2 linked regions of the Callithrix jacchus genome follow. Each later gene encodes a partner of the first gene's protein in a complex. Links are inferred from orthologs where the notes say so. Each region holds a gene or a part of one and is shown on either strand. Other genes may lie near its edges. The genes, in order: NPR3 and NPPC.

Region 1 (11,753 bases):
GTTTTATTAGTTTATATAATAACTAATTAAATTGTGGATTTATCATAATGAGCACAACCAGCATCAACAGACTTGGGGACAACTCAGAAAATATATGAAGCTTATATATTCATATATTTGATGAATATATAAGAATGAGAAGTGTGCAGCATACTCAGAAGAACGATACTAGCTGCCAACGCCTACCAAGAGGTGATAAGATCTATAGAGAACAAAGAACATCAACTAATCCTGCAACCTGCATAAGTGGAGGTTAATTAAGGAAGTTTTTGTTGTATCACAATATAGTTAAATATATAAATATTAATTTTAGGTCAAATTGTTGAAATTCTAAAAGAGGGGATGATGGTGTAACTCTAACTTTACGTATAGACATTTTTCAACCGACTATTTTCTCCTCCTTGCCAGAAAACTTTCAATGTTCCATGCCGCCCTCTATCATCTGGTTCCCACAACAACTTCTGTAAATGGCTTCTCACTATTGCATCATGTTCCTGCAATCAGTCTAAGAACAGCAGAGAGAAATGCAAAGAGGTGGCTATAGTAGTCAATTCAGAGTATCAAAAATATTCCAAGTAGTATGCCTGAATTGAGGGGGATATTTATTTCCCAAATTTCAAGTTTCCATTGGAAGAAATTTCTATTGGGCTAACATTTCTCATCTCTCAATGTGCTTTCATTTACCCTCCCCTCACCCACAACAAGAGGAAAAGAAAAAAGTGAAATGTCTGATTGTTGAGCCTAAAACTCAGTATACTTGCTCAGTCTTTTCTTCCTTCTTCTTGGGTTGTGGCTGTTTGCAGAGAGCCCACGTCATGGGCTTCTTGTGCCACATGGTCAGGAGTTAGCAGGGGAGATCTGCAGCTAAATGGCACTGTCTGTGACTGAACAGATATTCCTGCCTAATTCTGGAAGGAAGTAATAGCAAGCAGGCCCTTTTGGAAATGGATCTAAATTCATGTTCTCTAACTGGTTTTATCAATAATAAGGATATTTTCATATTCTCCATCTGGCTGCTGTACCCATCTTCCAGTTAATTCTAAACTTAGAAGGAAAAGAGGGTTATTACTGCATGGAAGCAAAGCAGAGCATGCCATATCCTGCACACTGAAAGTGTGATAAAATGAAAAACTCAGCAGTAACTTTGGAAGTGGCCTAGGAAATACCCAAACAAGATGAATTTAAAAAAAAAAAAAAACAGCAGTAAATAGAAGGTAAGAAAAGTAGAGGATCAATCCAAGAGGTCTAGCATCCAAATAAGAAAAAAAAAACCTAGAAAGAGAAAATAGAGTAAATAAAAAGGATACAATTATCACAGAAATAATTTAAGAAGTATTCCCAGAATTACAAGATATGAGTTTCTGGATAAAAGAGGCCTACTGAGTACACAAGGAAGAGGAGAAGATTTTAAATATTTCCAGGAAAGCAAAACAACAAACAGTAAGTTCAGAATCCAAATTGATTCCAGCTTCCTAATAGCAATGTTAGAATTTAGAAGACAGTAAAGCAATGCTGTCACATTTTGAGGAAAAATTATTTCCAACTTAGAATACTATAATTATGTATAAAGGTATGATGAAAATGTTCCAGTCACAAAAGCTCTCAAAATTTAGGTCTTACTCAACCTTTCTCAGAAAGCTCTTGGAGGATGTGCTCCATCAAAACAAAAGCATAATCAAAAAAGAGGAACACACAGGGATCTAGCTCAACAGAGAGGTGATGGAAGCCCCAGGAGGATACTGAAGAACCCAGAGTGGCAATTGTGCAAAATACCTGGAAAATAACTAACTGAAACAACTCAGGAGGCTTGAAATAAAGAATCAAAAGATTATTTAATTAAAAATCCATAGTAAATTAAGCAAATAAACAAAAACAGACTTTTTAAACTCCATGGAAAATAAGTAGGAGGAAAAAGGAAATGTCAACATAAGAGCCTGTATGACTTAACCTTAAATATCATTTAGAAATTAATGATAATATTTATATTGAATACTGGGCTAACTAAAAAAAAAAAATGATCAAGAGATGGGGTCTAGCTATGTTGCACAGGCTGGAATGCAGTGGCTATTCAAATAGTACAATCCATAGCCTCAAACACTTGAACTCAAGTAATCCTCCTGCTTCAGCCTCCTGAGAAAAATTTGGAAACAACCATATCGGAAATATGACTGGAAAGAACTTCCATGTGTGGTTAACAAGCAGTAGAATGACCGAGAAGAAAATTTTCTTCCACTGGTATTCCAAGAGATAAGATCTAAAACTGAAAAAAAAAAGTAGCATGTTATTAAAAGATACAAAGGCCAATACCTGCAGGAACAGCTAACAAGAATTGAAAATGGTTGCTTCTAGAAAGTGAAACATGGCAAGTAGGAGACAGGAATCTTTTTCTCCTCATAAGTCTTGTGTAGTTTTCTCACTTTCTATAGCTGTAGAACTAAACTTTGGTAAAAAGAAAATCTAATTTTTTTCAGAAAAGGTTTCTCTATGGCTGTTTCTACCTACATAGCAATGGATATCATTGCAAAATGGAGATTGCATCTTTGTATCTGTTGTTCATAAAGCTCCATCTACTCCAAAGGCCTTTAGAATTTCCACACTGCAGCCTACAAAGCTCTTCTTTTCCCCACTCCTGTGTTATTTTACACTTATCATGGGTTCTTTCCTTAAAAACACTGCTGATTGACCACTCAATCATTTACCCCAGACAAATTCTAAAAATAAATGACTCTTATATTGATTAAATACTGTTATCTCTACTGTCATTATGCAGGCCCAGATTAATGACATACTAATAACTAAAACTATAAAACTACAGTTCTTGATATAAACCAGGATACTTCTGGTTCTGCATCATATAAAGCGCATCCACAAAACAACTACTGACTTTAATTGCTTGAAAAAATTATTTCTAAGCCTGTCTCTTTAAAACAAAATTTATTGTTAAGTGTGTGGAATATGAGGGCAGTAGCTGGCTGTACAAGTGAATTCGTTTTAAATAAAGATAATTGCTTTTAAAAATAACACATGTTCAGTTCTGTTTATTGTAGTGGTATTAGCAAAAGACATGACAGGAAAAAATGACTTTAAATTACTGACTTAGATGGTAAAATAATGGATGTCCGTTAGTCTTTCTTTCTACAATATGCCAAGTAAAATTTTAGTCGCATTATTATTTGAGATACTGGCATGGTCAGTTTTTTACTTGCTAAGAAATTCAAACATTTGTGATTTGGTTTTAAAGAGAAACTTACGTCCAAAAAAGTAATACCAACATTCTCACCAAAAGAGGGAGAAACTCCCTCTACTTTAATTCATAATGCTTAATAGGGAATTTTCAAAAGCAAAAATATTGTCCATTGCATTTCACACTTGAGTGAGAATATCAGTTTGAAGAGGCCTGATTCTCACCCCACACATTGTTTCACAGAGAAGAAAACTCAGATAAGACCAGCCAAATCCAGAGGCATCTGCATCTCAGCCCAAGGTTCTTTCCCATAGCCTGGCCTCACTCCTGGGGTAAAGTTGATCATGATCATATATAAAATAATAACTACAATTAAACTGCACATTTATTGAGCACTTCATATTCATCAGACACTGCTCCCACGCATTCCTGTGTTAGCTCCCCTCAGCCTCCCAGCTTCCCAAAAGATGTGGGTGCTCTGACTACCCCCACTTTACCTGAGAGGCCGAGATCCCCCGGCCAGTGAATGAGCCACAAACTCCACTGCAACCACATACTGAAGCCCTATTTAATGCATTAATTGCTCATGGTAAAGTAACTGTGATTCATTGTGTTTGTAAAACGTCCCCTAAGAGAGCTTTGTTATCAAGCAACTTTCTCTCCTGAGTGTAAGGAATTTCGGGGTGGAAGTGGGGGAACGATTGGAGGAGAAGCTGTTTTGTTTCATATTTCTAAATATCTGCCAGGTCACTGTTGGAAATATTTTTAGAGTAAGAATTGTAAGATCCTAATCTTATCACTTGTAAAATATACAGTTCAGTTAAGCCAACTTTCACCACTCAATGCAAACTTGGCGGTGGGGGAAGCAAAAAGACTTCGGAAACTCTATGAGGCGTTTGGAATTAAAAAGTAATTCCCAACAGCCGACTGCAGCCTAATCTTCTGAAGCCCAGGGCGCACCAGTCCCCAGGCCCGCCAGGACACTGCTGCCCGCCTACCCCCAGGCCTCAGCCGCTGTGAGGCTGAGGGGCCTCGGGCCGCCATCTGACCTCCTCTGAGGTCACACTGCCCTTGGTTTAGTATCCTAGGCCATGTGCGATGAGGCAGCCGCTGACATTGGGACCTACCGGGCAGTGGCATCACGGACCTGTCAGCAAACCGCGGATCTCGCCCGTAGGGGGACACACCCCCAGCCCCAGCCCGCCTTGGTAAGTCTGATTTCTAGCTCCTTGCCCTCGAAAGCCGAGAACTGAAGAAGCGGGTTCCGGGAGCCACTGCAGCTCGGGGCGCAGACTCCCGCATTGAGGCTGCGGTAACCCGGCAACTGGGAGTTGGGAGCCTAGATGTGGGTTCCTTGACTAGCCGTGGCAAGTCCGCAGCTGTTGGATACAGGTGCCCTTTTTCATAATCAGCGAAGCCTGCGACCCGCCTGCTTGTCTGGCAGGGATTCGGCACAGACAGCCTGGAGTTCGAGAGCTCAAAACTTGGCCACGCTTTCTCACTGCCAAACACCTTTCGCCTCTTTGCTCTAAAGGGTGAGTCCGAAGTGGCCAGGATAGCAAGGCAATGGCTGCAGCGCCATTATCAATGGCTTCTCTGCCCACTCTCACCTATTCGTGGGGCCCTCGGCCTCAGGTTGCCCTATCCCCTATGACCAGCGCCCAGGTGCCTGGCCAAGCCAAGTTGTGGACTCGTCCCCCGCCTGGCTCAGCTCCGCTCCCCTTCGGTCTCATCCGCGCGGCCCTGGGGTCTCGGGGAGCTTTGCCGGGATTGCACTGCTCAAATTCCAGGCGCGTGCGCGCCGAGGGGAGCAGAGACAGGATTCCCTCGATGCCTGCCCTCAATCCCTGACTCAAGGGAGGAGGGAGCTACGCTATGCTGGGATCTCAACCCGCCTTCCCTCGGATTCTACCCTACAGTAAAAAGGGCCACAGTGTCGATTACACACCCGCATCCACCCGCTCCCTGCAACCATAGTCACATCCTCTGCCTCGAGTTCTTTGTCCAGTTTGAGTTGTATTCCAATACCCAAAGACTCATGGAGAAAAATTGGGAGACAGGTGGAAAGAAGATTCAGCACCCGTTTCTTCAAAAGGCGCTCCCGCAAAGCTTAGCTCTGGGCGCATTAGAGACTGCGATGCAGAACGCGCCGGGGAAAGTGAGTGTCGCCAGAGTCCAGACACACAGGGGCATTTTTGGTGGAAGCTACAGAAGCTCGTTTATAAGGGGCTGGAAGGGGAATGAAAGGAATGAGAAGAGTGATTCAACAAGCCTTTAAAAGAAACCAGGGGTCTGTGGAAACAGCAGTCAGTGAAACCCCGACAGCGGGCGAGCCAAGTGGAGACGCCTGGCTGCCGGGCGTCCGCGGACGTTTCCGCCCTAAGAGGGGACGCATGCGGGCAAAGGACTGGGGAACAAGCTCTTTCCGCCTCGGATGCTTCAGACCCTGGTTGGAGCCAGGCACTGGGAATGCGCGCCCTAATCGCCAGCCGGGCGCTGGCAAAGTAGAAATCTGGAAGAAAAAAACCCAAGTGGTTTCACAGCACCTGCAGGACAGGAGCTGCGGACTCAGACACCCTCCCTCCAAATTCTTAACCTCCCTGGGGCCCTCTACAAACACCCCGCGACCGCGATGGGCGTCGTCAAAGGTCATCGCAGCCACACAGAGCACACCTGAAGGACTGCCCGCGCGCACCCGCCCTTAGAGCCGCAGAGGGGAGTGGGGTCTGCAGAGTGGACGGGTGTGTAGGGAGAGCCAAGGAGAGCTGTTGGGTTAGGGCCTGGGGCCCGGGACGCACTCCTGCTCACCTCTCTCACTGGCCTGGATATTGCGCACGATGTCTTCCAGGTCCAAGTCTTTGGTCTCGTCGAAACTGTAGATGGACGTGTGCAAATCCTCCGCCTCGAAGACCTGGTGGACCCCTTCAAGGGTGAAGTAGCAGTTCCGCTCCAGCTTGTCGTCGCTGTAGACCAGCACCGCGCGGCTCCACTGGTGGTGGCGGAACAGGGCGAGCATCATCTCGCCCATCTTGGCGTAGGCGGGCGCCACACGCGTGAGGTGCGAGTACTCAGAGTCCTTGCGCTGGAAGCCGGCGGCCAGCGCCCCGGCCGACAGCATGGGCAGGTCCCAGTGCGACGCAAGCCGGGCCACTGGCGCTGCAGCATACTCGCACACCGGCCCCAGGATAAGGTCCGGCTTGGCGCCCCGCGCCGCCGCCACGCGGTCCACCAAGTTGAAGAGCGCACGGTTGCCACAGTCCGAGTCCTCGTAGGCCACCTGGAAGCGAGTGCCGGGCGGCAGAAGCCGCCTCCCAGTCCCGTTGCCCTCCACGCTGCGCAGAGCATACTCTATGGCCGGCCGCACCCGGGTAAGCGAGAACAAGTACGAGTTATCCTGGGGTAGTAACACCAGCACCTCGATGTTCTCCGGCGGCAGCGCCTCTCTCTCCAGGCGTCCGCCGCCTACGCCCGCGCCCCAGCCGTCTCCGCCAAAGTCGCCGCCAAAGCCACCGCCACCAGTGCCGCCGGCCAGCAACGCCCAGCCGAGCAGGACGCACTGGGAGAAAGTGAGCACCAGCAGAGACGGCATCGTGCCGCAAGAAAGCGCTTGCCCTCGCCGCCGACTCGCCCTGTGCCCCCTACCCACCCTTCCTCTTTCCTCCCCACTCTTCTCTCCAAGGTCCCTGCGCCCCCTTGGGCGCTTTAAGAAAATAGAATACCCCCTTCACTGGCGCGCCAAAAGATGGAGAGGAAGAGTCCTTCCCTCCAATGTCACTAGTTTTTCTTTAAAAAAAAAAAGAAAAGAAAAAGAAAAAGTTCACCTGGTGTAAACCTGTGCGTCTGTAATATACATACATATACTTATATATATTCGCCCTCCCTTTATACATATACTATTTTGTTTAGAGGTGGCTTCTTATTTGGGCGTTGCTAACGTTGCTTTTGAAAGCGTTTTTGTAAAAGAAAAAAAAGTTAGACTTGTCCAAGTGTTTGTAATAGACGGTGCATCTCCCTCGCGTTTGATCTCATTGATTCGCGCCGGTTCCTGGATCCATAGCCCGCGTTTAAATAGTGTGGCAGCGGCTGAGCGTGTCACCACACACGGCGCGCCGAGGCCGGGCTTGTATTTCCAGCGGGTGGGGTGGGTGGGGGTGGGGAAAGGTGGGGACTGGGCTGGGGAAGTCTCCCATTAACATTATTACATCAGGGCTCCTCCCCGCACCCCTTCCCTACCCGTCGCTCCCCTGTCCCTAACCCCCACTCGCTGCCAGCCCTCTGCCTTTTCCTTAAAGCTGAAATCGCCCACGTCTGCATCGGCGAGAGCCCCCACCACGCCGCGCGCCTGAGATCCCCGCCTCTCCCTTGCCACGCTCTCAGGCTCCGGGCTTTAAAGAAGGAAATGTCCTTGAAAGTAGAGAAATGCGCGCGCGCGCATTCACACACACACACACACCATGTACAACAAAACAACAGGACTCGGGGAGAGGAATGGTTCTAGAAATTGTGGTTTCAGTGCAAAAATCCTCAGGTGCCGCTTGCTCTCACCTTTCTTATTCCGGCCACATTCCCTCCTGACGCAACTACGCGGCGCGAGCACCTGATCTTCCTGGTCCCTCCGCGCAAGGTCAGGGAACCAGTATCAAGGTTCCAGTGCAGATGGCTCCTTCGCGGACCTGGTTTGCCCGGCTGGCCCGGGCGTCACCCACACCCCGCCTTCCTAAGCCCCGAGCCAGCCCCTCCTGCTGGGCCACGCAGGTTCGCGCTGGAATCGCAGCGGTGCCGGGCCACGGTGTCCCAGTCCACAGACCCTCCGCGCACTGAGAGCAGGAAAGCGAAACTTGTTGCTCCCAAAGGCGAGGGAAAGGTTCAACTTCTGGAGGTGTCACAAAGCTCAGAAAGCATCCCCAAAGCGTCCTTGGGCTTTGTTTGCTAAACCAGGTATCTAAATAAAGAGACTGTCTTTCCCAAAACCTTTCCGGCAGGTCCCCTGGGTTCGATGCACGTTCCCCTCCACCCTGAGCGCTCAGAGATCCCAGCGCTCCTCCTCTGGAGCGCGCGAGGCGCTCTTGGGGTACTGCTGGGGTTCTGAGACGCCAAGAAAGGTCCTGTCTCAGAGACCCAGTCCTACCACTGGCCACAGCCACAACAGCGGTGGAGACCGGAGGGAAGCGGTTCTGGAGGAGTTGGTGACCAGAGGAGCATCGCCAGAGTCCGCCGCGGGGCGGGGCGGGTCAAGATGGACTTCTATGCATACCGCACCCGTCCTTTGCAATGTGAACGTGCTACACTGGGCGAGAGATTTCTGACAATTAAGTCCCGCAAATCGAAATCCACTGAAAATGTGTTAAAACGGTCTTATTTGACTAAGCGCCCATGTCCACACATTTTCTTTTGGTCTCAGACCAACGCCCTCTTTCGGCAGAAACTTGCACCCGACTCAACCCTGGAGCCGCAGTCCCAGACGCTGCGTTTTTACTCCGAGGCCTCAACGCGCTCGGGTTCTCTCGCTTCTGGCGGTGAAAAGGCAAACTGGGGTTTCTGGGGATGCGGCAAATTCTGGCGTCCGCGCTCGCCGCCCTTAACAGCACTCTCCTTGTCGCTCTTTCTGGAACCGTCAGTGTGATTGTGGGTAACGTTTCAGCTTCTGGGTCATTTAGATTTCAGATTATGCACTGTGATCCCGAAATCTTCACTGTTATGTAGGAGCTTCTAATTACTGCGAGAACTTTCATTTATTTGATTAGAGCCACTAAATAGGGAGCAAAAGAGACATCTATATAAAATTTCATTCGACCAACGGGGTAATACACACACACTGGAAACTGAGCTTTAGTGCTTCACAACAATTAATTCTTTCCTGAATTTGCAGAAGGGCAAGCGTTTACGTTTATGGCAGCATAGGTTAAAAAAAAAAAAAAAAAAAAAAAAAAAAAAAAAAAAAAAAAAAAAAAAGAACAGCAACAAAACAAGGGCTACATCTCCAATTCCAAGGGGCTTAATCGATTTCAAAACTGGTTGCCAGGAGACATGAAGGAACCAGGGTTTCCTATTACTTCGCAGTGTGCCCTGCGTGTGGGGAACACCAGCCGATGTCGATTTGATTCTGCCATGTCTGGTGTGGGTTTACGCGGAGAGTCTGGGATTTCAGTGGCCCCGGTGTGAACGCCTGTCCCATCCCAGATGCTAGCCAGCCTTGCCCACAGTTCAACAGGCGCTCACGGTAGGGTGAGTGCCCTGTAGCCTCTCCTTCTGGACAAGAGCTGTCGACTTGCAGTTTGTCACACTTAAGAGCACCAACAAAACCAAGCTGCGGAAGGGAAGAACCCCCAAACCACTCCGCGGAACGAAAAACAAAAAGCCCGTATTATGCTCTATGCTGAGGCTCAAAACACCCCCTTAAAAATTCCAACGAGCAAAAGTTAAAATTTTTTTAAAGGCTTTTCAAATGAAAAGAATCACAAGATTATAAGACCCACCAAGTAACATTAGTGTATGGATTTTAATGTTATAAGTTTGTTTACTTTCCATCAAATTAGAATTTTTGTAAACAACTGAAAGTTTGTGCAAATATGTAGTTCTAAATCTTCAGGCCAGAAGACTTAAGAAGTCACCCAGCCTGACACCCCTCACTCTCTAGATGAATTAAGGCCCAAAAGGGATGTCTTCATCCCCTGAGAATATTTTTAAATGGGATTGGATTCAAAATAAACCATGGACCATCAGTGACATCATGTAAAAAGTGTTAGGAACAAAGCTAATTCCTACTCTAAGTAATAACATTCTTTATATCAAATTTATATATATATGGCTAAGTTTTGAGGATAATACAGCACAATAAACCCAAAAATAATATTTTATGATAGAATTTTTGCAGCACTTTAATCACAAAACAAACCAAAAGAAAAAAAAGAGGAAAAAAAATAGAAATAACTTATTTCTTTGACTCAATTTTTAAATACTACTTCTTTCAATTCTGTGAAACCCCCAAAATGGGGAAAAAATAAATACTTTTGTAACATTCAAAAGAGTGATGACCTTTATACTGGCTGCTTCCTTTCTGGATTCAGTTGTCGAAGGAAACAAAGGAACGATATGAGAAAATGATGCACAATAAAAAAAAACTGGCCATTTGAAAGAAAGGCAATGTTGGCCCTAAACATGGTATTTCAGAAACGAATAGACTTTTTGTGAGGCTTAGAAATGTTTTACTTAATATCCACAAGCCATGTTTTGTTGTTTGGGTTTTTTGTGTTGTTTTAAGCTACCACTCTAAGGTGGCAAGTTTTCTATAGAGTATTCAACAGTTTGTTTTCCAGCTCTGCAAAATGAAATTACTGTCTTTATGTTATTTCTCACTACCAGGAAAGACACCACTAATATAGGCAACCTAACATGTGATTCTGTGAAGTATTGTTAGAAATTCTATCAGAAGTGAGTTTTCTCCACCAACTGTAACAGTCTCTGTAACTCTTGTCACTTGGAATCCTGACTGCAGCCTCTAACGTAAAAGCCCGTCCAGATTTTCAAAGGGCCTCTTCTCCCTTGTTGAGCCAGCCCTAATGTCGTATTCAAGAATACCCCTGTGAAGCCTGTGGCCCACAATAAATACCTTCTGAGGACAGAATTGTTGAAAACACACTCCCCCCTAGAGGCAGAAAAGATGAAAGAACATTACAAATAATTCAAGAACATTTCTGTAATGTAATGAGTGTTGAGATTTCATTCTTAACATATAGTTGCTGTTTTAGAGGGAACTATTCAAGAAGTTGGGGGGGGGGAATCAATGGATGCCAAAAAATTAAATTAAAACTTTGCCTCTAGGTTCTCAGTTTCCTTAGCAGGGACTTTATTAAATTATCCTTTTCTTCTATTATACAAATCTATGATTTTAATTTGCCAGCGCTATAAATAATAGTAATTTTATATTTTCTATGATTCCATTTCATCAGAAGCCGCAGCTAACTGTGACCTTAAGGGTTTGAAAACACAGAGTTGTTTCTCTATTATAATCCTCTTAGATTTCCATCAACTACAATCTTTCACTTCTTTGAAGATATTCTGAGGCAAAGTGACATTAAAAACACTTCTGAAAAATGTAAAACCTAATCGTGATTTAACCTGAATACCGGCATGATATTTGCAAACCATATGAAGAATTTTCATATCATCGATTTATAGATAAGTTACTTGATGTAGATTATGATATTCACAAAAAAGTGAGAATATGGGGGGACTTCAAAAAGCTCATGGAAAATGGAATTAAAATATAAAAATTTAAAATATGAACTTTATTTCTCAACCATCAAGTTCAAGACATTTTTCTGAGTGGCGATACCAATCGTGTAGTTTATCCCTAAAAAAACTAAGGGTCCTGGAAACCTAACCATGTCAATGCAATCTTTATTAACTGAAGAAAAATGAGTGCCCTCTACAGATTTATTTAAGATCAGGAAACAAAGAGAAGTCAGAAGGAGCCCAATTGGGACTATAATGTGGATACCTAATGATTTCCCATCAAAAAATCACCCTTGTTTGATGAGTGGAATGAGCAGGAGTATTGGCATGGTAG
Region 2 (11,789 bases), on another chromosome or scaffold:
TGCTGGAGGGCTACCTGGGGCAAAGGTCCTGGGGCTCAAACACCCACAGAAAGACCAGGTGCCACTGGCTACCTCCCCAGTGACAGGTTTTTCTCTGGAACTCTTCCTCCAGGCCTGCAGATCCATGAGCACAGGGCCACACTGCTCCCAAATCCCCTGAGCAGGGCGCTGCCAATCCACTGGTGTTATCAGCCCAAGAGGGCATGTCCCCACCTTCCCCTATCAGGCGACGGATGACAGGGAAGGCTGCACAGGGCTGTCATCCAACCGAGCATGTAGTGAGAACACCTTGGAATTATTTCAAAGTTTCCTGCTGGTTTTAGGAAAAGAGATTCTCATCTAAATTATATTCATAAATTCTAAATTATATTCATTATTCCACACTCATAGCTCCATGGGGCATAGGAAATGTAATTGTCAGTGGCTTCAAGTGAAAAGAAAACCCGCAACCCTCCCACAAAGCACAGCACACTACAGATACGAAACTTGACAATACCTTCTCCTCTTCGAGGTCTTGGCTCGCAGCTGACCATGGCAGTCATTACGAGGCAGAAACTACCCACCCTGGGCTTTGTGAGCTAGTCTAGAAAACAGAGTTGCTGGGATTTGTAAGGTGACGTGATCGATTCTGCAAGATATGCAGAAGCCTTCTAAATCTCCCAAAACAGAGGTTTAGCAGCTACTTCCTCCACTAATAGCAGAAGATGGAGCAGAAGTTACAGGACCCTAAGTCAGCTGAGTTCAATGTTAATTTTATTTTTTGAGATGGAGTCTTGCTCTGTTGCCCAGGTTAGGGTGCAGTCTGTGATCCCCGCTCACTGCAACCTCCCTCTCCTGAGTTCAAGCAATTCTGCCTCAGCCTCCTGAGTAGCTGGGATTACAGGTGCCCACCACCTCACCCAGCTAATTTTTCTATTTTTAGTAGAGTTGGGATTTTACCATATTGGCCAGGTTGGTCTCGAACTCTTGTCCTCAGGTGACCCACCCACCTTGGCCTCCCAAAGTGCTGGGATGACAGGTGTGAGCCACCGTGCCTGGCCATTATTAATTTAATTCATAATGTCTGACTTTGTAGCAGTCAGATGTTTGAGCAGAGCTTCCTGACCTGGCTGAGCTGGTCAACAATCACTTGGGACAAAACTTGTACAGCCAGTCCTATAAGATTCGGTAGATAAGAGGGTGGTGGAGGCAGGAATCCGTATTTTACAAGCCCTCCAGGGCATCCTGACACAGATAAATCCGGAACTGGGAATCTGGCTGTCAGATCTATTTGGAAGCAAATGCCTTTTCTCCACATTCTCCCTCTGCCTCAGCCTAAGTCCGAAAAAATAAAGACAAGTAAATGAAGATGGTTTTCAAGATATTCATGGAATGACATTTTTTTTTACATTTTTTCAACTAGTTAGGACAAAAGCATTACAATGATTGACTTCTTTCATTTAGTTACATAAATAAAACTTTTATAAATATCTCTTTATAAACATTATAAATAGCTTTACAACATAAATACATTTAGGCATGACATGAATTTACAAACAGCAATGTTTTACAGCTGGTTCTGTCAGTCTCTTAAAAACTGTCCCTCGTCATCGAGTCGGTGTAGGTGTGTGTGTTTCATGTATATAATATATATATAATATATAACTTTTTATTTTTCATTTTAAAAAAACAATAAAATCACAACCCCCTCCCCAAATAATAATAAAACAGCTGGTGTCATGTATTCCCAGTACCAGGAAAAAAAGAAAGAAAGAAAGAAATGTAAAAGCCACATTGCGTTGGAGGTGTTTCCAGATGCTGGAGGCTGATGACCAAAGGTGACCTCAGCACAACGGAGCCAGTTTCCAATCCTGAAACACAGAATGGACATGCATGCTCAGTTCTGGCCTCTTAGCTGAGAAATCCCAGCGGGCTGGGTGGTTCTAGACCCTTTCCTCCCCTTCCCACAGCAGCTTGAGGGATGCCCCTGCCCCTCTCCTGTCCTGACCAGGCCTTCCTGCGGAGGGGGGCTCCCTCTGCGCACTCCCCAGCCCCCTTGGCTTTGCCATCCCAGCCCAGGTGGAAACAGAGTGTCCGCAGCCCTCCTTCCCCCTCAGCCTAACCACAGGCCTTGCCCTTGGCCCTCAGGGAGGCACAGAGAGAATGGAAAATCTCCCATCCCTTTTTTGCTATGACATAAACCCTCAGTCAGTGCTTGCCTGGGCTTTGTGTGTATGGGTGACTGTGGATGGAAGGAGAAAGGAGACATCTCAGGAGTCAGGAAGCCTGGGCTCACATCTCTACCCTGACATTGACTCCCTAGATGACCCTGGATGGCTTGGAGTGTTCACCCATAAAACAGGATAATAGCCACCTCCCTGTGGCTGGCTTTTGGATTCAACAGGGAGTCTCGGATTGGGCATCGGCAGAGTCTGTGTCTCAGGTGCCACCCGGCAAACAGCACCTCCTTCCCCAGCTGTTTGCGCAGAGGAAGGGATTCAGGTCCCCTTGAGAGGCAGAGGAAATGGTGTCTCACACCAGCCCTGGGGGATGCACAGTCATGGGCTCTGGGTTGAGGATTGTCAGGGTGAAGTCCCTGCTAATGGGTATATGGGTGCCCCGGGGACCAAGGAAGGTGGCCTTCTAGGACGTTCAGTGCCCTCCCAAAGGAGAGCATGCCCTGAATGAACCTGGGCCAGAATGGCTTGAAGTCTCCCCCACTCCCGTCTCTGGCTCTGCCAGGTGTTTACACAGATGACAGCTCTCTGTGATGTCGCTGGGCCCCAGGGCCAAAGTGTTCATTCAGGTTACAGACACCCCTGTCTCTGTCATTAGCGTTATACAATCAACACCTAGAACCATCTGCGACCATCATTATGGTGGTGCTCAGAGCCCAAGTCAACGCATGCATGGAGTTACGGCCAAAACCTCACTGAGTTTTCCTTAACGTGAAAAATCGAAGCTGTCTTTTCCTTTAAGCCCAGTGATACACCCTGGGCATCACCACCAGGAACCTGCAGGAAGGATTTCTGCTCTCTCACTGGGAATGGGGGGCAGTGAGGTTGAGGTTTTTATTTTTCATTAAAAAAAAAAAAACAAAATAATAAAACCACACCCCCCTTCCAAATAATAAAACAGCTGGTGTTGGGGGTAAGCTGGGGTTGAGGGGTTGAGGGTAAGTGTTCATCCAGGCTAAGGGAGCTTGTAGGAGATTAATGAAACCTACTCCCCATCAAAGGGGTCGAGAATTCTTAGCAATGTGGATTCCTCCTACATAGCATCTTTCTCCACCCTTTTGGCCATCACTTGGTGACTGCAGACAGCCAGGCCCAAGAACAAGGCCCTATGGGGATGTGAATTCCAGGCATGAACCCATGAAAGGTTCACTACCATTTGTTCAGATTCGAAAGTTTGAACTTGACACAAGTCAAATTGAAAATTTGAGGCCTCAGATTATCTCTTTCTTGTTTAGACAGGAGAAAAGAGAGCAAAGGCATTCCAAGGGTAGCTACTGAAGTCTGGTTCCCAAGTGTCAGAATCATTTATCTCCCTGTGCAAGGGACAGTCAAGGTCACAGACAACTGAAGCCTCTGCAGAATTGGGGAGAAGCCCACAGCCCAGTGAGGTCTGGCTGCAAAGAGAGGAAGTGCGCTGGTTAAAACCTAGGGTAGGTGGGAGTGCCGGTTTCTCTGGTGATTGACAAATATTTCTAAGAGTCTGTTAGGGGTGCAGTGGGTCCTGGAGTGCCTTAAGCTGTTCAATACGGGGAGGTGAATGGGTTCACACACTGTGCAAACATGTTCTGTACTGTAAAAACTATTTTTTTACAGTGTGCTGGAGAGGCGCTCTCGTTTCCTTCTGGGTGAAGATCGGATGCTGACGAGGGTTTCTGGGGTGGAGACAGCAGCCTGCCCATGGCCTGGGGTGGGACAGTCAAGGTGTGGGACAGGCAGTGGCAGCTGCTGAGCTGGAGGCAAGAAAGCCAGAAAGCCTTGGGAGCCTGATCCTAACGCACATGATTGTCGATGTCAGAGACTGGGTGCTGTTACTCAGTGGGCACTGTCAGGTGGCAGGAATAGAGCAGAGGGAAGGAGAGGTGAGGCCCTCTGCGGCTGGAAATTACCACCTTGTGGCACCTGGCAGAGTGTGATGGTAGGGCAGAGGTTTCCCACCCTAGCGCCATGTGAGACCCCACACCAGAAACAGAGCCTGGGGCACCGGTTGGGTGGGGGAGAGGGTTGGTGAGGGACTCTGGGACATGTTGAGTTTGAGGTTGAGTTACTTTGTGTCTTTCCTTTTCCCTGAAATAGCCACAAGCACTGAGGTTCACCCTGAAACCACCAGGCTGCAGCTGCCTCAGGACCCTGGACAGACCAGTTTGCCCACTGCCTGGGTCTAGAGAAGGGACAGGAACTGGAGTGCCCCAGGCAGAAGAGGGTCCCGACAGTGCCAGAGGGCTATTCTCCCTACAGGGGGCATGGTGGCCGGCAGATGATGAATGTCCCCTGGACTTCTGGGTGTACCTTTCCTTCTCTGCTCCCACAAACCCATGATCTCCCCTCAATCCCCCCACCAGCTGGCAAATCGGGGCCAATGCTGCTAGTTCAGCTACGGTTGAGGGGTGGGTAAGACCCCACCAAGCTTGTTTCTGTTTCTCCAAAAGAAGCCAGGTGGGTTCAACCAGGCTGAGCCATTTCTGATCTTGCCAAAGTTCCCCGATCACTTTATCCTTCGCTTTCTTTGTCTGTAAGTGGGATAATAAGGGGGCGGCCGGCAAACGGCTAGCACAGCTTGAGCATAGCGGGCTCGCACTCTCCCCTCTGAAGGCCGGCTGGGCGGCGGGCGGCGGGGCCGGGCTGGGGGTGGGCGCGGGGTCGGCAGTACTCACCGCCGCCAGGGGGCGCCACACTAACATCCCAGGCCGCTCATGGAGCCGATTCGGTCCAGCTTGAGGCCGAAGCAGCCCTTGGACAAGTTCTTCTTGTTGGATGCTTTGTGTTTGCGCGCGTTGGGGTGCTCCTGCACATGGCGGCCCCACGCGGCCCGCGACTTGGTGTCCGCGCGCAGGTCCCGGAGCAGTCGCGACCGATCGCCCTTGAGGTTGGCGCCCCCGCCCCCGGGAGCCTTGTCGCCCTTCTTCTGACAGCCGCCCGCAGCCTGGGGGTCCGCCAGCTCCTCTCCCGGCGGGGTTCGCGGGACCTGTCCGAGGAAAGAGCGGGTAGGTGAAGGGACGCGCGGCTGCAGCACGAGAGACTCTGACTCTCCAGCCCAACGTGCCCGCCGGCGCCGGGTGTCCCTCCCGAGCCCGGAGCCGCCGCTACGGATTCCGGCCCCCTTGGCCCCTCATCCACCTGCCACGCGGCCGCCGCCGCCGCTCACTCCGGAAGCCCCCTGCCCTCCCCTCCTTCGCCGCTCGACCGGCAGGCCACACTGGGACAGGGGGCTGCGCGTGGGCCGACGTTCTCCCGAGGCTGGGGATAGGGACCCCCGAGTAGGCGCTTCGAGGGCTCCCCGGCTCTCGCCCGCGCGCATCTCGGAGGAGAGGGCCGCTTTCCTTTCCTCTCTGCTGGGTCCTGCGCGCCGCATTCTCCAACCCCCCAGCCTCCCAAGCCTCTCCCAGGCTCGGTGTCCCCAAGACAGCACCCACCTTCTGCTGCGCCCCGGGCTTGGCTTCGGAGGGCCGGAGTGAGAGCAGCGTGAGCAGCAGGGCGCAGGCCAGCAGCTGGGAGAGGTGCATGGTGCCGCTGGGGTCGAGGGGCGCAGACAGGCGGCAGCGAGGGCGCGCGAGTCGGCGGGCAGACCGGCAGGCAGGTGCGGAGCAGGCTGGCGGGGCTGCAGGGTGAGCAGGGTCCCAGTGCTGCGCGGCGCCGGCTGGGTGCGCTCTGGGCCCGTGACTCCGCTCGCGCCTTTATAATCCAACCTGCCGCTGATGTCATCCTCCCGCCCACCGGGCAGCCCGGGCCAATGGCACCACGCACGCGGCAGCGCCAAGGGCCAGGAGGGGGCCGCGGGGGGGGGCTCCCCTCCCTCAACCCACCCCGGAGGGATCCCGCGGCTCGGCGGGCTCGCTCCGTACTGCACTTGGAGCTGCAAAGCAGCGCGCCCTGGGGAACTCCATTTGCAGCGAACGCGCGACCTGGCCTGCCGAGCATCGGTGCGCCTGGTGCCCTGTGAAAGCGCTGGGTCTTCACCACACTCGCCCTACCTGGAAGGGATCTGTAGCCCTCTTTGCAGGTGCAAAGATAGGCTCAGAGGAATGAAGTCACTTGCCCGAAGTCATACAGGCAGAAAGTTGGTGCTGCCCGAAATCCACGCAGCCCTGCTTGTCGTCTGACAGGCGCGGGATGGCATAGCAGCTCTGCCTGTCACCTGCTTGCCAGGGCAGGAGGGCAGACCACAGGCGGCCTCGCTAGGTTGGGGAAGCAGAGGATGGGGTTGGAGGACTGGGGTGGGAGGCGCAGGGAGAGCGGGGTTCGCCTGGGCCGCAATGGGGAGCGCAAGTCTTCCACATCGGAGAGTACAAGCTTGCAGCCAGCCTGAGTATTTGAGCGCGAGGCGACAACGAGGGGACTGCAAGCGCGGGCGGCCCAAGACGTCGATGTTCATGCGTGTGCTTGGCGGCATCCTATGCTCGCCAGTTAAGGCTCTAGGTTCACGCTCAGCCGGTGTCGCCTACACAAGAACGTCCCTGGGTCTGACTCCGCTGGTGAATTCCGTCTGTGGGAACAATGAGCGCCTGACCCTGCCTGCACCCACGCGAAGATCCGCTGCTGAGGGAAACCCGCTCCAGTATCCTGTGCACCTTCCCAGGCTGGGGAAGGAGCTTCCTAGCCAGCCAGCGGCCCAGTCTGGCCTCTTCTGGCCATGACAGGTGGTCAAATTCCCATTTTTAGCTGTAGAAAGGTCCTCGTGGCTCTCGGGACACGGCCACATATCCCTGCCGGTCATGAGCTTGCAAGCCTTGCGCTGGGCTTCTTGGTCCCTTGAGCACTAAGGAGTGTGGTGGGCACATGGGTACTGAGGTGTGAGCCGCAGAGGCGGACAGCCCAGATCCCCCAAATTGAGTGAGGTGCAAGAATCTATGACTGGCTGCTGCTGAGCAGGACTCAGGCTGGACAGATGAGAACAAATGTTTCGGCAGGAGTGCAGTGGCTGCCCCCAAGCGTCGAGACCATTCCAAGCCCAGATGAGCTTTTCCAGGAAGAGGAGGCTGTGCCTGAGGCAGGAAGGCAGCTGGAGTGAAGAGGGGCTTCGAGAACCAGGTTTCCCCCTAGGCTCCTCTACCTTCAGTGGCAGTAAGCCTGGTCCCAGAGCTGCAGAGGCAGCAGCATCATTGTCTGATCTGTTGGCCCCTTTCTCAAGCTACCCCTTCCCTCTTATACCCTGAGTCACAATGCTGGACCAACCACTCCACAGGTCCCTTTGTGCAGGAAACAGCCTACACCTGAGGTCTGAGTTTGGGGCAGCAAAATTTCCTGGTCTCCAGGAAGATCCAGACATCAACAGGGTACCTTTTGTGGGTTCTGGAGTTGACTCACCACCTCCACGCAGCCCCCCAATTCCTCTCCACATTAACACCCATAGAGTGGCACCACTCTTTCATTTGAGGAGAAAGGAAGAGGAACTAGAAGGCAGAATAGGGAGGGAATCCAGGTGGGCTGTGAAAGTTCCCTCTGCTTTTTGCCTGCTATACAAAGAAGGATGTTACCATTTGGAACTTCTCTGACACGTGCTTTCTTCATACCTGTTTAAAGAGCCAGGGACAGCCACAGAGATTGATTCTAGAGTCAAGCTCTGGGCTGGTTTCCAGGGGCGGGTGGTACATCCTCTAAAGCCCCTTATTAAGGGCAGGTCGGAAGCTTCCGCTGTTTTGGCTACTTCCTTCTACCTGAACGTCCGTAGACCGGTCTTTCCTGTCTTTGGTGTTCCTGGACACATTTGCATCCAGGTGATTGCCCAGTGACTATCTGGCTCTCCTCTCTGTTTCAGCTTTGAAGCTAAATTAATAAAACTGACACCCCCAACTACTGTGGCAGAGCCAATACCCTGAATGCCTGTTCCCTTCTTTGGAAGGGAAATCTGGTGAGCTGCCACTCCTGGCCACTGGGCGGTGGTCATCTGCAGAAGGAGGCTTCCCCAGGGCAGGCTGTGGAGCAGCTTCTACTTAGCTGGGGCCTGGGAGGTGGGAGGGAGTCAGAGGCCTGGGCTAGAGGGACTGTGGAGGTGTGTCATTAGCACAGATCTGCCTTGAAAACAAAGATTTCCCCTCTCTTTTTGCTTTCCTTGCCTGGGGAGCTGCAGGGGAGGCCCTGTCTTCCTCCTGGGCCTCCATTTGGGACTCAAGCCCCTTCTTGCTTCTTTTCCCTTATGAAGTCCGCTTCTTCTGCCCCAAGCCCCAGGGGCATGGGCTGGGAAAGTTGAACTGACTGAGCAGCTGAATATGAGCTATTCAAGTCATGTTATTGACTGCTGAATTTTAAATTTCCTCCTAACGGCAAAAGAGGAAATTTAAAGGCCCCAAGGACCCAGTCATTCTGTAAGAAATCCTGTCATTTTCACTGATCTCGCTGATTCCCCCCCAGTATCTACTGAGCATCCCTGAAGCCTGCAGGGTTCCATCCCAGCCAGGAAGAACCCACTGGAGACAGACATGAGCTTCGTAGGCTGAAAAGGACAATACCAGGGAAGGGGACAGCTCAGGCTGAGGCCACCCAAGGAAGGCTCCTCCTCCATCCCGGACTAGCAGGGTGGGCTTCCTGGAGAAGGAAAAGTCTGTGCTGAGCCTGGAAACACAGGAAGAGAAAGGACGAGAAGAGGAAACCCTTGACAGAAAACCAGGCTTCCCAGCACTTTGGGAGGGCAAGGTGGGCAGATCATGAGGTCAAGAGATCGAGACCATCCTGGGTAACACAGTGAAACCCTGTCTCTACCAAAAATACAAAAATTAGCTGGGCATGGTGGTAGGCGCCTGTAGTCCCAGCTACTCGGGAGGTTTAGGCAAGAGAATCGCGTGAACCTGGGAGGCAGAGGTTGCAGTGAGCCAAGATTGCACCACTGCACTTTAGCCTGGATGACAGAGCAAGACTCCTCAAAAAAAAAAAAAGAGAGAGAGAGAGAGAGAAAGAAAAGAAAAGAAAACCAGGCTAACAGTGGAATGTGCTAGAGTCAGGCCTGGGGGGTGCTATTCGAGAAAAACCAAATGCGAGACCTCACAAAGGGCAACGCAGAGGGCAGAGGAGACCTGTGAGACTGCAGAACCCCACGTGCCCAGACCTAGGGAGGGTGGAGGGATTCAGGCAGGGGAGCCCAGAGGAGGCAGGCTGGGGAGAGGCAGTTCTGAGTTCGGTGGTGTTCTGGAGGCAGAGTGTGTGACAGAGAGAGGGAACACTGCTGAGCTCTTGGAGGTGGGAAGGGCAAATGAGTTCATTGGGGGTGCCTGAAGATGAGGCAAAGGGAAGGGGGTCAGCTAGGTGTGGGGGGAGTGGGAGGGAGCAGGAAGTGGAAGGCAGAGCCAGCCTTCAGTGTCAGAGAGCTGTCTGGGTGAGTCCAGGGTATCGGCTCTGCCACAGTAGGTTGGGGGTATGCAGAGCCTTCAGCGTCGGAGAGTTGCTTGGGTGGGACTGTTTACTCCCTTCTTGCCCTCTGAAGGGCGGGACCCCATTCTGTGGGCCCCTCTTCAGGCTTTCTTTCCTCCCAGAAGGGCAAGGTGAGACTCTCACACCTACTGGAGAGGGGCCCTTCCTTGGGACAGGCAACGTCTGGCCGGAATCAGGACGCGATGGAAGATGGGAGTGGGCCCTGGTCAGGATGCCTGGTGGGAGAAAGGTGTGTGGAAGGGCTTCTGGGAAGCTGGGGAAGGAGCAGCTAAGACGGGACTGTCCAGCCCAGGTCCCAGGAGGGAGGAATATGAGCCCTGCGAAGCAGCGCCCTCTCCTGGCCCCAGGGCTGCAGAGGCAGGTTCTCAGGCATACAGGAGGGGAGGGTTACAGAGTGGCCCATCTGTTTCTCTGCAATTATTTCATCCCAGGGCCCCCTTCCAGCTGCATAACTTCTCAGAGAGGACACTAAACAGGCAGTGAGCCGGTCTTGAGGCCAGGTGGGGAAATTGCTGCGGGACCCTGGCCAAGTCCTGTCACTGCGTGGGGCCCTCAGTTTCACCACCTGTAATTAGAAAAACATCATCCTTGCTTTCTAGACAGGGCAGAGTGAATCCAGGGCCTGATAAGAGGTTTCCAATCTCTCCCTGGACAAACGCAGCAGGAGGCAGCTGGGGTGGAAGAGAGATCTGAATGTCACTGCATGCACACTCGTACTTCTGGCGATAGGACCCCCGCAGCCCCTGAGACTCCCTAGGACTGTTTAGTGGTGCTGCCCTTCAGAGGACACAGAGGCCAGGGCATGGCCAGGTCTCCTTGAGCTTGGTACCTTTCTCCAGGAGTCCTGAGCCCATGGGGCTGGACTGGAGTACTGGAGGAGGTGGAGGCCAAGGAAGTGTCATTCATCCTTCACGGGCCAGAGATTCCAGGAAACCTTAACCTCATTGTGCCACCAGTCTTTGACCCCAGGACACCCCCATCTGATGAGCCAGCTGCCCTTCTTCCCTTTCCCAGGGGCCCTGCCAGCACCTGCTCCAGATGGCCTCCAACTCCACTGTCCTACGCAGCCCATGACGTCAGAGTTCATTCCTCCTTTTCCCTCGCTTGTCAAAAAGAAAAGATAGGTCCTCCACAAATAGGCTTTGTTCCCTGGGGGAATCAACAGCTCTCCATCTGGCTGTCAACGGGCAGGTGACGGGGGCAGGGGGTGAGGCTTCAGCTCCAAGAAAGTGAGCAGGGTAGTGAGCAAGAGGGCCTCCCCAGCAGAAAAGAGCTCAGCACCCCAACCTCAGCTCAGAGCCGGCACCAGATGTTTGCAGAGCAAATGGATCTGCTGCCAAATTCTCGCTCTGGGGACAAGTGCTTGCCTTGGCTGGACTCTGGTAAAATGTTGGTCATGTGGAGCTTTTCCAAGAAGTGAGCCACTCTTTTCCTGCTCTGGGGGTTCCTGCAGCGAGCCCACCCTTTTAGTTTGTACCTGGAGGAAAATGTCTATTGTCTGGTCTTGGAGACCTTGTCTCAGATTTGACAGTGGCCACAGTCTTCAAGGAGGAGGTGGCTTCTCCCTATGGATAGAAGGGACCCCTAAGTGTCTTACAGAAGCCCCCTAACTTGGCACCTTTCTAGAAAGGATCATGGAATGGACTTGCTAGGATCCAGGACCACCAGTCACCTCCAGGGAGCCATGTCTCTGGATTTTCCAAGCCAGAAACTTCTCAGACTTCTGCCCCGTGAGTGTGTCATCACCCACTGCTCTCTGGTAAGCGGTCAGTTTCTAAGATGAGAATGACCGGAAAACACTTGTCAGAAGCAGACATGGCCAAGCCAGATGCTGATGAAGGCCGGAGGGAAGAAACGTTTTGCACTCTGTGCTCCACAGAGATTGGAAGACACTTTTAAGCCCAAAGCCCATAAATTGTTCGAATGGCCACCATTCTGCCTATGTGAAGTGTCTCTGGGCCAGCGTGCAACCTTGCACAACAAGCCTTTCCTGAGGATTGCCCAAGAAGATCTCTTATGTCCAGTGTACACTTGGCAAAGAGAAGAAAGGTCATTCTCCTGAAATGATGGCCTGTTTTGCCTTGTGGGAGAAATAATTTACGAGATAAAGTCCCAGCATAGAGCTGTATAGGGTTCAGAACGTCCCAGGAAGTGGCTGATTAAGGATGTCGATGCCCACAGAAGTGGTAAGGAGTAGAGATGAGTGTCCATGTG

What was found.
Region 2: the proteins of NPR3 (region 1) and NPPC are in contact, whole or in part, in a crystal structure (PDB 1JDP), measured with the Homo sapiens proteins. The link is inferred for Callithrix jacchus from reciprocal best matches to the Homo sapiens genes NPR3 and NPPC. Residues at the interface, in NP_001191304.1 of Homo sapiens: Asn110, Tyr138, Ala141, Pro142, Arg145, Ala161, Gly163, Phe164, His166, Glu170, Tyr171, Tyr204, Lys208, Leu209, Arg211, Tyr214, Phe215, Leu217, Glu218, His221, Glu222, Gln225, Ile233; in NP_077720.1 of Homo sapiens: Gly109, Cys110, Phe111, Gly112, Leu113, Lys114, Leu115, Asp116, Arg117, Ile118, Gly119, Ser120, Met121, Ser122, Gly123, Leu124, Gly125, Cys126.

The regions. Positions count from the first base shown.
Region 1 is NC_133503.1:172,597,594-172,609,346, forward strand, and holds the start of NPR3 (atrial natriuretic peptide receptor 3), read right to left. Parts: upstream 7,873-11,753; 5' UTR 6,774-7,872; coding exon 5,993-6,773; intron 1-5,992. UniProt on the Homo sapiens protein: Receptor for the natriuretic peptide hormones, binding with similar affinities atrial natriuretic peptide NPPA/ANP, brain natriuretic peptide NPPB/BNP, and C-type natriuretic peptide NPPC/CNP.
Region 2 is NC_133507.1:153,337,914-153,349,702, forward strand, and holds NPPC (C-type natriuretic peptide), read right to left. Parts: upstream 5,864-11,789; 5' UTR 5,717-5,863; coding exon 5,627-5,716; intron 5,179-5,626; coding exon 4,888-5,178; 3' UTR 4,868-4,887; intron 1,851-4,867; 3' UTR 1,344-1,850; downstream 1-1,343.